2 linked regions of the Mus musculus genome follow. The protein of the gene in region 2 purifies or fractionates together with the protein of the main gene of each other region. This does not show direct contact. Links are inferred from orthologs where the notes say so. Each region holds a gene or a part of one and is shown on either strand. Other genes may lie near its edges.

Region 1 (6,682 bases), on a different chromosome or scaffold from region 2:
ACTAAAGGGTGTACATGGGTTTTAACTCAGTGAGGATTTACAGCATTGCTCAGCTACCTACAGCCAGGGAGACTTTAAGCAAAACAGACATGAATGTGGAGCAAAAATCTAAAACTTAGAAGTGTCCCCTCCTGTCCCGGTACCCAGCATACTTAAGTCTAGCCTAAAGGGCACCAAGTCACTTTCTCCACATTATCTCAGAAGAAACACACAAAGATACACTGGGCATCTGGAAACTAGGATGTGTCTTCCCTTAAGGGTGAGTTCAGTGCCACAAGGTACACGGTTACATTTTCCAAAAATGAAGATTTAGCACACTTAATTTGATGGCCACCATGAGAAAAGTTTTGTGTCACAGAGGCCCAGCCAGGCATGGATTTCCTGCAGTGGCTACAAATCTCACAGGAGGAAGAGAGAAACAGCACAAGGGCCCATATCACAGCCATCCAATGGCCTTTCACAGGTTAGGGTGGGGGTGGAGACAGAAAAGCAAGAGTAGGAAACAGGACTCCAGGCAGTATCAGAAAACAAACTCAGTCAAAGCCTAGGAACAAGAATCGTAAGAGGCCTGATTGCTCAGTCAGCCTTGCTAAGCCCTGGCGATGGCCTCAGGATCTCAGGAAGTAGTGGGTCGCGTTCCCTCGGGGCTCGGCTCCAGCTTACACCTCCATCCAAGCTAACAGGAGCATGTGGGTGGGTAGTGTTCCAGAAGTGACTATTCTGCACTCAGAAACAAAACTGCAGGCCAAACTTTTCAAAAATACAAAATGCTAGGTACCTAGAGTTCTGACAAAAAAAAAAAAAAAAAAGATTTTGAAAGGATGCCTCTCCTTTGAAATCAACTATTCTATACAATGTTCTTTACGCAATGTATTCTCAATAAGTAAGATAGGTTGCTGCTGTGTGTATGCTCTTCAGAAAAAAATTCTCAATTAAGAATCCGAATAAAGGACTGTTGGCAGTTTATTCTTGGTTTTGGTTTTCCGTGGGTCTCTTTTATTTGGCTTGGTTTTCTAAGAAAGTTTAGGGCTGGAGAGATGGCTCAGGGGTTAAGAGTACTGACTGATCCTCCAGAGAATCTGGGTTCAATTCCCAGCACCTTCGTGGCAGCTCACAATGGTCTCTAATTCCAATCCCAAAGAACCCAGCACCCTCACACAAGCAGGCAAAACAGCGATGCATATAAAATAAAGATAAATTTCTTAAACAACTAGACAGCATTTACCTACCTCGAGGTATCAGGAAATACGTTACATTTTAAAACTAATCTAAGCCATTTCTGCATTTCAATGGAGTTACCCAAAAAAGTTAATTGTACTTTATATTCAAGTCAACTTTTTGGTTTAAGCGGAGAAATACCCAGAATGCAGTCAAAATCAAAGTCCAGAAATTAAAGAAAGAATCCGGACCATCTCATCTCTACCCCATAGATCCCTGAAGCTGAGAGTGGAGCTGTGCAGTCAGCAGGCATGCATTTGCCTGCACAACACACTGTGTATACATTAGCCACATGCACACAGGCAGCACTGCTCTCAGCCTGATGCACAGCAAGTGGGAGCTCTCCCCAGCTAACACCAGCTGACTTGGTTATTTTAATTACCTATAAAAGTGTCATTGCGGTCACCCAGTCACCAAATTGGTTGGGGGGGGGGGTAAATACCGCCTAGTCAATACATTTGCTGATCTATGAAGGTCCCTGAACCTAATAATAAATGACAGACAAGGGAAGGGGGGGGTGAAAAAAGAGACAGAAGTAGTTTTATCCTCACATCAAAAGATCAACGGTAAATTACCACAGGGGTAAAAGGAAGGACCCCCAACTTCTAACTGAACCTCGAAACAGCCTCAGGATAAAATTCGGGGTGATCAGGAATCAGCCTGCTTACAAGAGTGGGAGCAGGGGGACTGTGTCACTCCTGTGTCTTTGTAGGCCAAAATCATGCTTGATTTCTTCATCAGCATGAAAACAGAATGACACTTCCAAAGTTGGCAACAATTCCTCTTTCTCCACTAGTCTCCAAGGGGAGAAAAAGCATCTATGCCACCCATAATTAAATGTAACTAATTACAATTTGAACACTAAATTATTTATCCAGTGTAAACAAGGACTAAAAGGAAATAAAGCTTCTATCTGCAGCAGGGGTTCCAGAAAATAATTTGCAATAAATGCATGCTCTCCAAAAGTCAGCACCCTCCCCCCCAGCACCCTCCCCACCAAAATTGGGCACACAACTAAAATAAGTTGAGTTTTTAAGGCTAAATTAAATAGGCCGTTCAACCAATTTTCCAATTATATTCTACGCTTGAAACATAATTGCCTTACATCTGTTTACAAATCTTTGCTCAATATTTAAACAAATTCGTACTCTCCCGGGCACATAGCTACACACACACAGTAACTCAGGCACAAAGCGCGTATTTAAAGACCATGCACTCCCATTATCAGCGTAAGCGCCGGGTTTAACAACGCGAATGTTTTCAGAGCTAGGTAATACGACCCAATAAAAAGCAAAGATGGCATTTACCACCAAATGTCACTGCCACCGCCAGGAAAGAGTTGCTGGAGCTCTATACATTTTTAATTTCGACGAATCGAGCCGCCGTCGCCCGGTGCCAGGCTTCCAGAAGAACAATTGACACCCTAAATGGTTCGAGATTAAGGCAGGCGATGCACTTCCAAAGCAAAAGTTGTCAATTATCAGAGGCGAGAGCGGGAGAGAGGAGAGGCGAAGGCAGATAAAAGCGATGTTATCAAACCGCCCAGCTTGTTGCTCGTGTGTGTGTGTGTGTGTGTGTGTGTGTGTTCCTTGTTAAAGCAGAGAAAACAGTTTTTAAAGGCAGCGGAGGAGAGCGAGGAGCAGCAGCTTCCTCCACCTTCCGTGGGCTCCGAGCAATGGCTCTCCCGCTCTCCGGCGTAGTAAACCCCGAGAGGCGGGCGGCTGTCCGTGTTTACAACGGCGCGAGCGAGCTCCGGCTGCCAGAGTCCTTTTCCCTGACACCATCGCCTTCCATCAACTGTTTTCGGGCGAAATCGCAGGTGTCATTGTGGAAATATTAAAAGGAAAAAAAAGGGAAAAAAACGGAGAAACAGAGGAAGAGAGAAAGAAAAAATCAGAAGGCAGACGCCGGCGAGTGGGAGAGCAGCCGATCCGATCGGGAGAGAGAGAGAGAGAGAGGACGAGCCTGCAGCTCACCCGCGCCGGCGGCTGCACAAGGCAGAAAAGCCTTCCACATTTCGGGGAAGGAGGAGAAAAAAGAAAAAAAAAGAAAATAAGGGGGGAAGGGGAGGGGAGGGGGTGTGATTGCCACGGAGGTGGGCGCTCCGAGCGCGCCCCGGCGTCCGCAGCGCCCCGACTTCCCCACGCACGTCCACGCCGGGCGCCGCGCTCGCCGACGCCGCCAGGGCTCCGGGAGGAGAAAGTTGCGCGGCGGGGAGGTCGCGCCCCCCAACCCGGGCTCCCCCCCGCCCCGCCACTCACCAGCGAGAAGAGGTTGGAGTGACAATCCTCCAGGCTCGCCCCGTTCGCTACCCAGTTCGCCGCGGCGGTCATGGTCCTCCGCGAGCCCGGCCGCCAGAGCGGGGCATGTCGGAGCGGGCCGGGCCGGGCGGCGGCGGCGGCGGCTCCCGGGCACCAGGGGCGCGAGGCCCGCGCGGGAGGCCCGAGGGCGGCGGTGGCGACGACGGCGACGACGGCGGCGGCGGGGGGCGCGGGCCGGCAACGCCGCCCGCCTCTGTCGCGCAGGGCCGCCGCCTCCGCCTCCGCCTCGCCGCCTCGTCGGCCGCCTTGTTTATCTCCAAGCCGGCGGGCGACTCGCCCTCGGCCGCGCCGGCGCGGGAGGCACGCGAGCCCCGCAGCCGCCCCGAGCCGCCGCCGCCGCCGCCGCCGCTGCGCGAGCCCGCGAAGGGGGGGGTGCGGACGAAGCCAGCGGGCGACCCCGGCAGCCGAGCGCCGTCCCCTCCTTCCTCTTCCTCCCCACCCCCCCCCTCCTCCCCAGTCGGCCGCGCTTCTCCTCCCTCCCCGGGCTCGCTCGCTCTGACAGCAATGGCGGCCGCCGACCGCGGCTCGGCCCGCCATTGGCTGCGGCGCGTCACGTGACGGGCGCCGGCCGCGCGGGGGGCGGGGGAGGGGCCGCGGCGGCGGCGGCGGCGGCGGCGGTGGTGGCTCGCGGGAGGCGCTGCTGAGCCGAGCGAGCGCGGCCCTCTCGGAGCGGGGTGACGGAGCCAGGGAGGGAAGAGAAAGAGGTGCGGGCGGCCGTGGGACGCCGGGGCTGCGTGGACGCCCCGCCCTGGGCGCGGGCGCGCGTCGGGCGCGGGCCGAAGAGGGCCGCGGCTTCCCCGGAGCGGCCTCCGAGCCCCCCTGGGGGAGCATCTCGGGTCCCCGAGGAGCGGCGTGGGCCGGCCCGGCCTGGCCGAGCGAGCCGAGGAGTGTCTCCTCCTCGAAACCTCGCGCGCGACCGCCCGCCGGCCTGCCTGCCGCAGCGCACCGGGCGGAGGAGTAGGACTCAAAGAGACACAAAGGCAGCGAGCGAGGTGCTTGCCCGGGGTCGCGGGATTCGAACCCAGGCATCGGGAAGCCAGGGCTCGGGACTCACTGCCTCCCGAGCGCTGAGCTCCTAAAGCATCCCGGCTGCTGGAGCCCTTGGCGCCCACTCTGTGCGTGCACGCAGGCATTCCTTACATAGATGATCCCAGCGCTCTTAGGTGCCACATTCACACTGGGCTATGTGGAGGGGAGCAGGCCCTTCCTCCAGCTCCAAGCGGTCAATAATAACCAGCATCCCTTCTTCAGAGAGTAATGGGACTGGGAGAAGTGCTGATGCCGGAGACTGCCTTCCAGGACTTTTCGTCGTGGAAATAGAGAAAGGGAGAAAGTTGACTTGGAAAGAGGTAGAATTAGGCAGGCGTATCTCTATGAGTTCCAGGCCAGCCTGGTCTACACACTGTCTCCAAGAAACAAAGGAAGAGTAAAACGCTGGAAAGAGCGGTGGAAGCAAAATAAAGCGGGCACAAATCTGACATATGAATGGAGTTTTGAGACTACCACAAACCTTAAACCCTGGAATGAAGGTGGCCCGAACACATAGGTCATTTCACAGAGTCCTCAGAATCGGGGTGCAATAGCATCCCCAAGGTCCCAGTTACTGAGTGGCTCAACTCCTGAACTATCTGAATTCAGGAGGCTCTGGAGAGGATGCCAGGAGCTGGCTCTGCTACACCTAGCTGTGACCCTGCCCAGCAAAGTTTAACTATGCCTCATTTTCTAATCTGTCCAAAGCAAATCCTAATTGCTGACCTGCTGACCTCAAGCCAAGGTCACACATTTCCGTTAAGATGCTATTGGGGGAAGGGTTACAAGGGGGAGTTGCCCGACACTTTATGCACACATGTGGTATTACTGAGACCTGAGCAGTCAGATGGTCCATCACACCCAGAATCCACGCATACTCATCACACGCGTAGGCAAAAGGCTATGAGCTGGTCACAGTCTAAGCAAGTCATAAGGGGAAGGAAAAGGGGGGTGGGATGCTGCACAGAAGCAAAACCAAACAAATAAGAAACAGTTTACAGGGCTGGAGATTTGGCTCAGCAGTTAAGAGCACTGACTGCTCTTCCCAAGGTCCTGAGTTCAAATCCCAGCAACCACTTGGTGGCTCACAACCACTCGTAATGAGATCTGACTTTCTCTCTTCTGGTGTGTCTGAAGACAGCTATCGTGTGCTTATTTATATATATATAATAATAAATCTTTTAAAAAACAAGAAAAACAGTTTACAGATTAGGAATGCTAGCATTTCTAATAAAATAAATAAAATTATTTTTTAAAAAATGCTCAACTTTATATATTGCTAGGACCAGATATTTGTGTCCCACTTACCATTCATGTTGAAACACTACAAGGGACAGGTTTTCGACATGGTAGTTAGCACGTGGATGAATTCCTTGTCTTGAAATAAGTGCCCTCTGAAGAGACATAGGAAAACTTGAGTCCCCCCACCCCTATCCCCCTTTGCCATATGAGGTCATTACCAGGAAGGAGGCTGTAACTGGACCAAAATGGGTCAATACCTCAGCCTTAGTCTTCCCAGCTTCCAAAATTATACAAATAAGTTTCTGTACTTTATGTCATTTAGTCTACCAAAACTCAGTTAACACAAGCAATTCAAACAGACTCAGGTATACTGGAAGGAAATCAGAAGTTAAGATCACACTGCCAATGTCAGCTTTTACACATGCAGAAGGAAGCAGAGCCCTTGGGTCGTAAGGACATGAGTATAAAGCAGCATCAGAGCTTTGGATGCCCAGGCAAGAACTCTCCACTGGGGCTGCAGAGATGCTCTGTGGTTGAGAGCACTTGCTCCTCTTGCAGAGGACCCTGGTTCAGTTCCCAGCACCTATAACCTTCTGAAACTCCAGTTCCAGGCGACCCAACCTCTTCTGCCTTCCACAAACACCACACACATGCATACATGCATGTTGAGATAGGGAGGGAGGGAGAGAGAGAGAGAGAGAATATGGGAGCAAAACACACACATAAATTTAAAAGAATTTTTAAAAAATAACAATTACATTTACAATGGGTACACTCTTTGGCCCGGTAATCCTCTTTAGAGCAATTCAGACACAAATACAGGTGTATAAAGGCTTGGAATGTAACTAGTATGAGCTGCCGTGTTGTCTGTA
Region 2 (5,970 bases):
CCTGGATAACTGAGCCAACCTCAGCTCAGTAGTAAAGGAGAAGAAAAGGAAGAGAAAGAGGTGGAAGAGGAAAAGGAGGAGAAGAGTGGGTTTTAGATCCAACTTTTAGCACTCCAGAGAAGAAAAATAAAGCACCAAGAAACAGAGTAATAGCAAATAATGGTTTTTTGTTTTTTTGGTTTTTTGTTTTTAACCTAAAACTTATCCCAGGGCATGCTGGCATATAAAATTATGCCTCCCATAGCTGGCTCACTTTTTGTTATTAAAGTATGTATTTAGTATTTCTACCATTTACACATCTGAAATAATATTCTAAGACAGAAAATGAGACTTCTGCTTCAAATCATTAAAAACAAACAAACACAAAAAAAAATCCATTTGGCCTGTGAGGCTAGAAGGCTGCAAACTCATAGTGAGAATCATGGTAGCACAGTATCACACACTGTCTCAACTCACCTTTTTGGGGAGAAACATTTTTGAGACAAGGCTTCATACTATAGCTCACGTTGGCCTAGAGCTCAGTATATTGCTCAGGTTGGCTTTAACTCATAGTAATCCTCCTGCCTTGGCCACTTGAATACAGGGACTACAAGCATGTGGTACCATGCCTGAATCAACTCATCCTTGATTACAATAAAATTATCAGATTAAAGAAATGAGAAATAAAAGAACACTGATCTTAACACTCTGAGTTAATTTTGAAATAGAGCTGCTTCCTTTCCATAAAAGATAGGCACTGAGTTACACTGCAGCCAACACATGAAGAGAGCAGGCATTGTTCCTGAAGAAAGGTTTCTGTTAGTATGTCAAGAGTCTGTTACCTTAGGAGATTTGAGTTCTCCTCGTCTCCAGTTTGTATCAATTCTGTGCTGTCTGATATACGCACTCTTCCATGGGCTGTGTATGAAACCTGGTTTTATTATTTTTCTTCTCTTGATGTGCAACGGTTCATCAATCCCTAAAGTATCAAAGAGTTCAAGAGAATAATTCTTTTCACCACTAATAAAAATTACACATCTTATAAAGTTCTTGTTTTCTCTGCTTGGCCCAGATACTGGGCTGTGCAGCACTGAACCTCCATTTGTTCTATCTCCATTCTCTCTCACAGTGACTGTGGGAGGTGCTGGTATGAACACGCAAAGATGAGACTGTATGTGCACTGCTGTGGAAATTAGCACAGTGACTCCTAAATACACAAACGCAGTGCAGGATGCAGGACTTTCACTTCTGCATGTATATGCAAAAGGATGAAAAGCAGAGATGTGAACGGCTGTCCATACAAGTCACCGTGCCTTTCCATAGATGAACACCAAATGCAGCAGTGCACCCTGAAATGCTGCTCGCCTTAACAGAGGACACGGGGATACACGCTGTGACATTTTGCTCAGTGAATAAGGCAATCACAAAAGGACAAATGTTGTATAATTTCACTTATCATAGTTTCCTACAACAGTAAACTTATAAAGCATGTAGGCAACAGGAATGGAAGAATGGGGAGAATATCACTGCATCCTACTCAATAAAATGGCTTGAACTCACTATGGAGACCAAGATGGCCTCTAGCTTTCAGCAATCCTGTCTCTGCCTCCTAAGTGCTATGAGTACAATGAACCCCATTACCTCAGGTTATTATCACAGTCTGGACTGCCCTGGAACTTGCTATATAAACCAAGCTGTTCAGAATCATTTTTACGAAATATAGTTTTTTAAGAGGACATTTAAAAAGAACTCTTAAGCTAGGTATGTGGCATACCCTTTTAATTCCATATCCTTTTAATTCAGGAGGCAGAGGAAAGTGGATCTTCATGAGTTCAAGGCCAGCCTGGTCTGTATAGAGACACCCTGTCTCAAGGGGAAAAAAGATTCTGAGAAAGAAGGTAAGGCAGAGTTGATTCACCGTGGTTTACATAAAACAAAACAAAAAACCCGCACAACTTAAGAAGAGGATCTTATCAGTTAATCTAGGAACAGCCAGAGGTTGACTGTAGAACCAGGCTCAGCAAGAAGCACCTGAGATCCTACCCTGGAGTCTTCCCTCCTCCGCCTCACTCGTCAGTGCTCTCTACCTGGTCACACGGCTGCCAAGGGGCCTGATCTATAGAACAGAGCATTACCATTCCCCCCTCAAGCATTTTGCCCCTCAGAAACAGCTATTTTTTTCTAAATGATTACTTTTCTAGATACCTGTTTACAAAACAGAAGATTCTCCCTTTGAAGCCAAACTAAACTATACTTAATAATAGAAGGTCCACAACAGGGAGACTAGGATGAAGCAGTGCCATGTCCCCAGCATTTACAAATGTTCAGCTCACAGGAGGTGCACAGTAAGTGTTTATTCGAGGAGTATATACAATACTCAATTCTGTGGGTATTTAACTGCAGATTTGTGGCTTCCTTTAAATCAGGTGGCCTCCTTTCCTGTTGGGATCAAGGAAGTGAACAGACGCAGACGCATTCTGGCAGGCACCTGAGCCAGCCATCTACTCTCACTCACAGCCAAGTTATTCTGTTAACTTGTTTCCAGAGTAGAAACACATCTGTGTGTGATTCTGAACTTACCCTCTTCTTTACATTTCTCTCTCCAGAGAAGGTTATCCTCAGCCAAAATTCTCCAGTATCGACAAGTCTGAGCCGCTTGCAGCAGGTCTTTGGGTTCCAGGAATGAAAGCACATAGAGTGCCAACTATGGAAAAGGAAATAGGGAAGGCATACTCACACTTCAAAAAAAAAAAAAAAAAATCACAGAAAAAAAGGTTACTCTACCCAGGCTGAGCATCTTGCTAGGACTACTGCATTTCAGTGGCTGAACAAATCAAGAAAAGCAGGATTTTAAGAGCAAAGAAAATGCTCACTAATCTCATATTAGGAATCTGAGGCTTTATTCTGGGTGACCTGTGATTTTATTGGTATTTACTTACAAGGTGAGAGCAATGCCACTTATCACAGGTTTCTTGTGTGAGCCTAGTGCTCAAGCACTTAGATAACCTAAATAAATGTTGATAAAGAGACTTGAAATTGTTCACACCAATTATCAAAAATATATATATATACAAGTACATTTTGTGTAATAAATGGTAATAAAGTTTTAAATAACATAATTCCCTATAGGGTTAAGCCTATACCATTATTCTTCCACATAGACATAAAGCACTTCCCAAGTGAAGAACACCCCAGTAGCAGGAAACAAAACACCATAGCTGATATGCTAAGCCAGGGCTCTCTCCTTCCGAACATCTTTTTTCCTCAGGAAGTCTTTGAAAGAACACCGAAGGCAAGAGAATCTTTTGGGGCTTTGCCTTTTGTTAATCACCTGTGCTTACTTCTTAAATTCTAAAACACTTTCAAATTCTGGAGCTTGGTGATGACTCAGTCAGTAACATTTCATGTGTAATGATGAAGATAAGGGCTTGGATCCCATCTTGTAAAAGGCTAGGCATGGCAATTCTAGCTACAGTCACTGCTCACTGGACAGCTGCCACTCTAGCTGAATGGGTAAGCTCTCGATTCAGTGGTAGACCACATCTGCATGTACATATGTACACCCACTTGAACACATGAACATACTACACATATGCATATTCTAGAGGAGGGTATCGGCCATGTAAAATAATCAAGATGAATATCTACTTCACTTACAAAAAATGTCCCCTATTATTTTACGCCCCGATGGAAGCAAAGGAGATCTCATGTTACTTTTCTAAGTTTATTCAAAGAGTTCTGCTGTAGAAAAAGGGCACAAGAATAAACACTTTTCTTCTGGGACAATGTCATTTTTAAAAAGTACTCCAAAAGGGAAAAGATACCGGGGGGGGGGGGGAATATCAATTTTGCTTTTCCCCAGAGTTGTACTTCACTCCACTGATTTTACTCAAATCTAATGCCAGATTATATCTAGGACTATATTTAACACCACTAGGAATTTAGAGTAATTATCTAAGAAAAGAGCAAGCAAAACTCTTTCTGTTCAAATTTGAGGGTTCAGGATCATTGTATGAATGATGTGTTAGTTTTTTGTGCTATTTAACTGATATTTATTACATGTATATAGTAATTTTAAAAAATATAGGCTATGAGGATACTATTTAATATCACATTATTCCTTTCTTTTGATAAAAATTAAGCTATTAAGTCTAATGTCAATACGTGCATTATATTTAAACTATAAGCCACACATGGCTATATGATTAAGAGCTGTAAGAATCCAATTTTTATGTCATCTCTCTCTCCTCTCTTTCTCTCTCTGATGGATGATGATTAGTAGAAATGCCAAAAAGGAATATAGGTAAAATTCTATATGTTAAAAAAATTGTATAATGTAATAACCAGAGAAATACAACAATTATAAAATTTCTGATTTGAAGGGGCATTAGATAATTAACAAAATAAAAACAAAAATAATGTTGCTGCTTAATGAACCCAGAATTTTGAAAACATCCACTATAAATAATAAACACAACTAAATAACTAAAAAAATAACCAAATAACTAAAGCCAGCCTTTAGATAACCTAGGGAAAAAATTCTTGAAGAAACTCAGTGACTCTCACACAAAGCCTTACTTTATCCAAGTGGAAGGAAGTAGTACCATGGTATGAATGCACTTTATGTGACAACTGTACCAAAAGGCTATAGCAGTTTGTCCAAGTGTCAACCATAATGAGCAGGACACTGCTTACAGGCTGTGGTTATGCACCCATAACCACTGGACAGCACCCAGCGGGATGCGGTTGACAGCCCCTTACCTCTTTAGGAAGCAAGGAGATGAAGTCTCGCTGGAACTGGGGCTCTATCACTTGCATCATATGCTTCACTTGTGTTGGTTCACAGCTGTCAATGAGCTCATCTAAAGCCAGCAACTTCTCTGGTCCGCTCCAGCTCTACCAAAGAGGAATTGGACACATTACAAATTCATACAAAAGACCCGCAAGCCCCTGCATGGCCATGTTTGAGCAGTGGAACCATGGACAGAAGCCACTGAAGCGACTGCAGGTTTTAGTTTCAGCAAGTTTACTCAGTAACTTTCCCAAAAAGCATTAAAAATCATGACTGGCAAACAAACAAACCAACACAAAAACAAAAAAACCAAAGTCTGCATTTATTTTTAATTATGAGAGTTATGCATTCTTCTAACACCAAGACATTGGGAGACACGAAAATCTTGTCCTAGAAACATCCATGTGGGTTACTGAATAAATAGGGAATTTTGATAGGTCATTTTTCTCTATATATTCTCTTTAGTGGACAGCCATAAAATTTTATGGCTTGAATAAGGTTTTCATCTAAGAGCTAAGAGATTTGCAACATAAAAAAATTAATAGTTGGTTATTCTGCATATCTGACAAGTATCTTCTACACACTTTAAAAATGCTTTACTTTAAAAAATGGCAAGCAATAGAAAATATTAGCTGAGTTAATACTGCAAAATTTGAATATAATCAAAGCCCAAAATGAATAAAAATGCTGTACTTATGAAAAATGAAAACACATATACTTCAAAAGTATGGGTTCCTTTAAAAAATTCTTCCCATTTGTTTGTTTTTAATATTTTCCCTCAGTGAGCATGACTGCTCACAAAAGCCATGGCTGTTTAAAGGAACAAATTTAAGGCCATATGAATAATTTAAGATGTTGGAATTTTATAATAACCATGTAAAACATTTAAGTAACTTCACAATTGTTACGTGAAAACATATCAACACAGGCCTCTGATGAAGACACCTCTAGGGGCTAATGCACCATTTTGGACATGGATGGGTAAAGAGTAACAGGCAAGGTATGGCTCTTCCTCTAAAACTTGCACTCGGATCCCATAAGATGTAAGAAACACAAAGGCTTGCAGGAAGCGGCACTCAGAGTAATTCAAGAGGTATGTATTCCCTTAGACTCTGCAGTGATGTGAACAACTATGGAACTCGGGTTAGCACTGAACTATGTCCGTGACCTACTCTACTTTGCCAGTGTAAGGAGGGGGG

The links. The genes of interacting proteins can lie anywhere in the genome.
Region 1: the proteins of Fbxw7 (region 2) and Med13l purify together in Homo sapiens (affinity purification with mass spectrometry; 4 studies listed by BioGRID, with this or other methods). This does not show direct contact. The link is inferred for Mus musculus from reciprocal best matches to the Homo sapiens genes FBXW7 and MED13L.

The regions. Positions count from the first base shown.
Region 1 is NC_000071.6:118,557,655-118,564,336, reverse strand, and holds the start of Med13l (mediator of RNA polymerase II transcription subunit 13-like), read right to left. Parts: upstream 3,619-6,682; 5' UTR 3,552-3,618; coding exon 3,480-3,551; intron 3,476-3,479; exon of another isoform or gene 2,526-3,475; intron 1-2,525. UniProt on the Homo sapiens protein: Component of the Mediator complex, a coactivator involved in the regulated transcription of nearly all RNA polymerase II-dependent genes.
Region 2 is NC_000069.6:84,964,153-84,970,122, reverse strand, and holds part of Fbxw7 (F-box/WD repeat-containing protein 7), read right to left. Parts: intron 4,876-5,970; coding exon 4,741-4,875; intron 2,684-4,740; coding exon 2,560-2,683; intron 959-2,559; coding exon 822-958; intron 1-821. UniProt on the Homo sapiens protein: Substrate recognition component of a SCF (SKP1-CUL1-F-box protein) E3 ubiquitin-protein ligase complex which mediates the ubiquitination and subsequent proteasomal degradation of target proteins.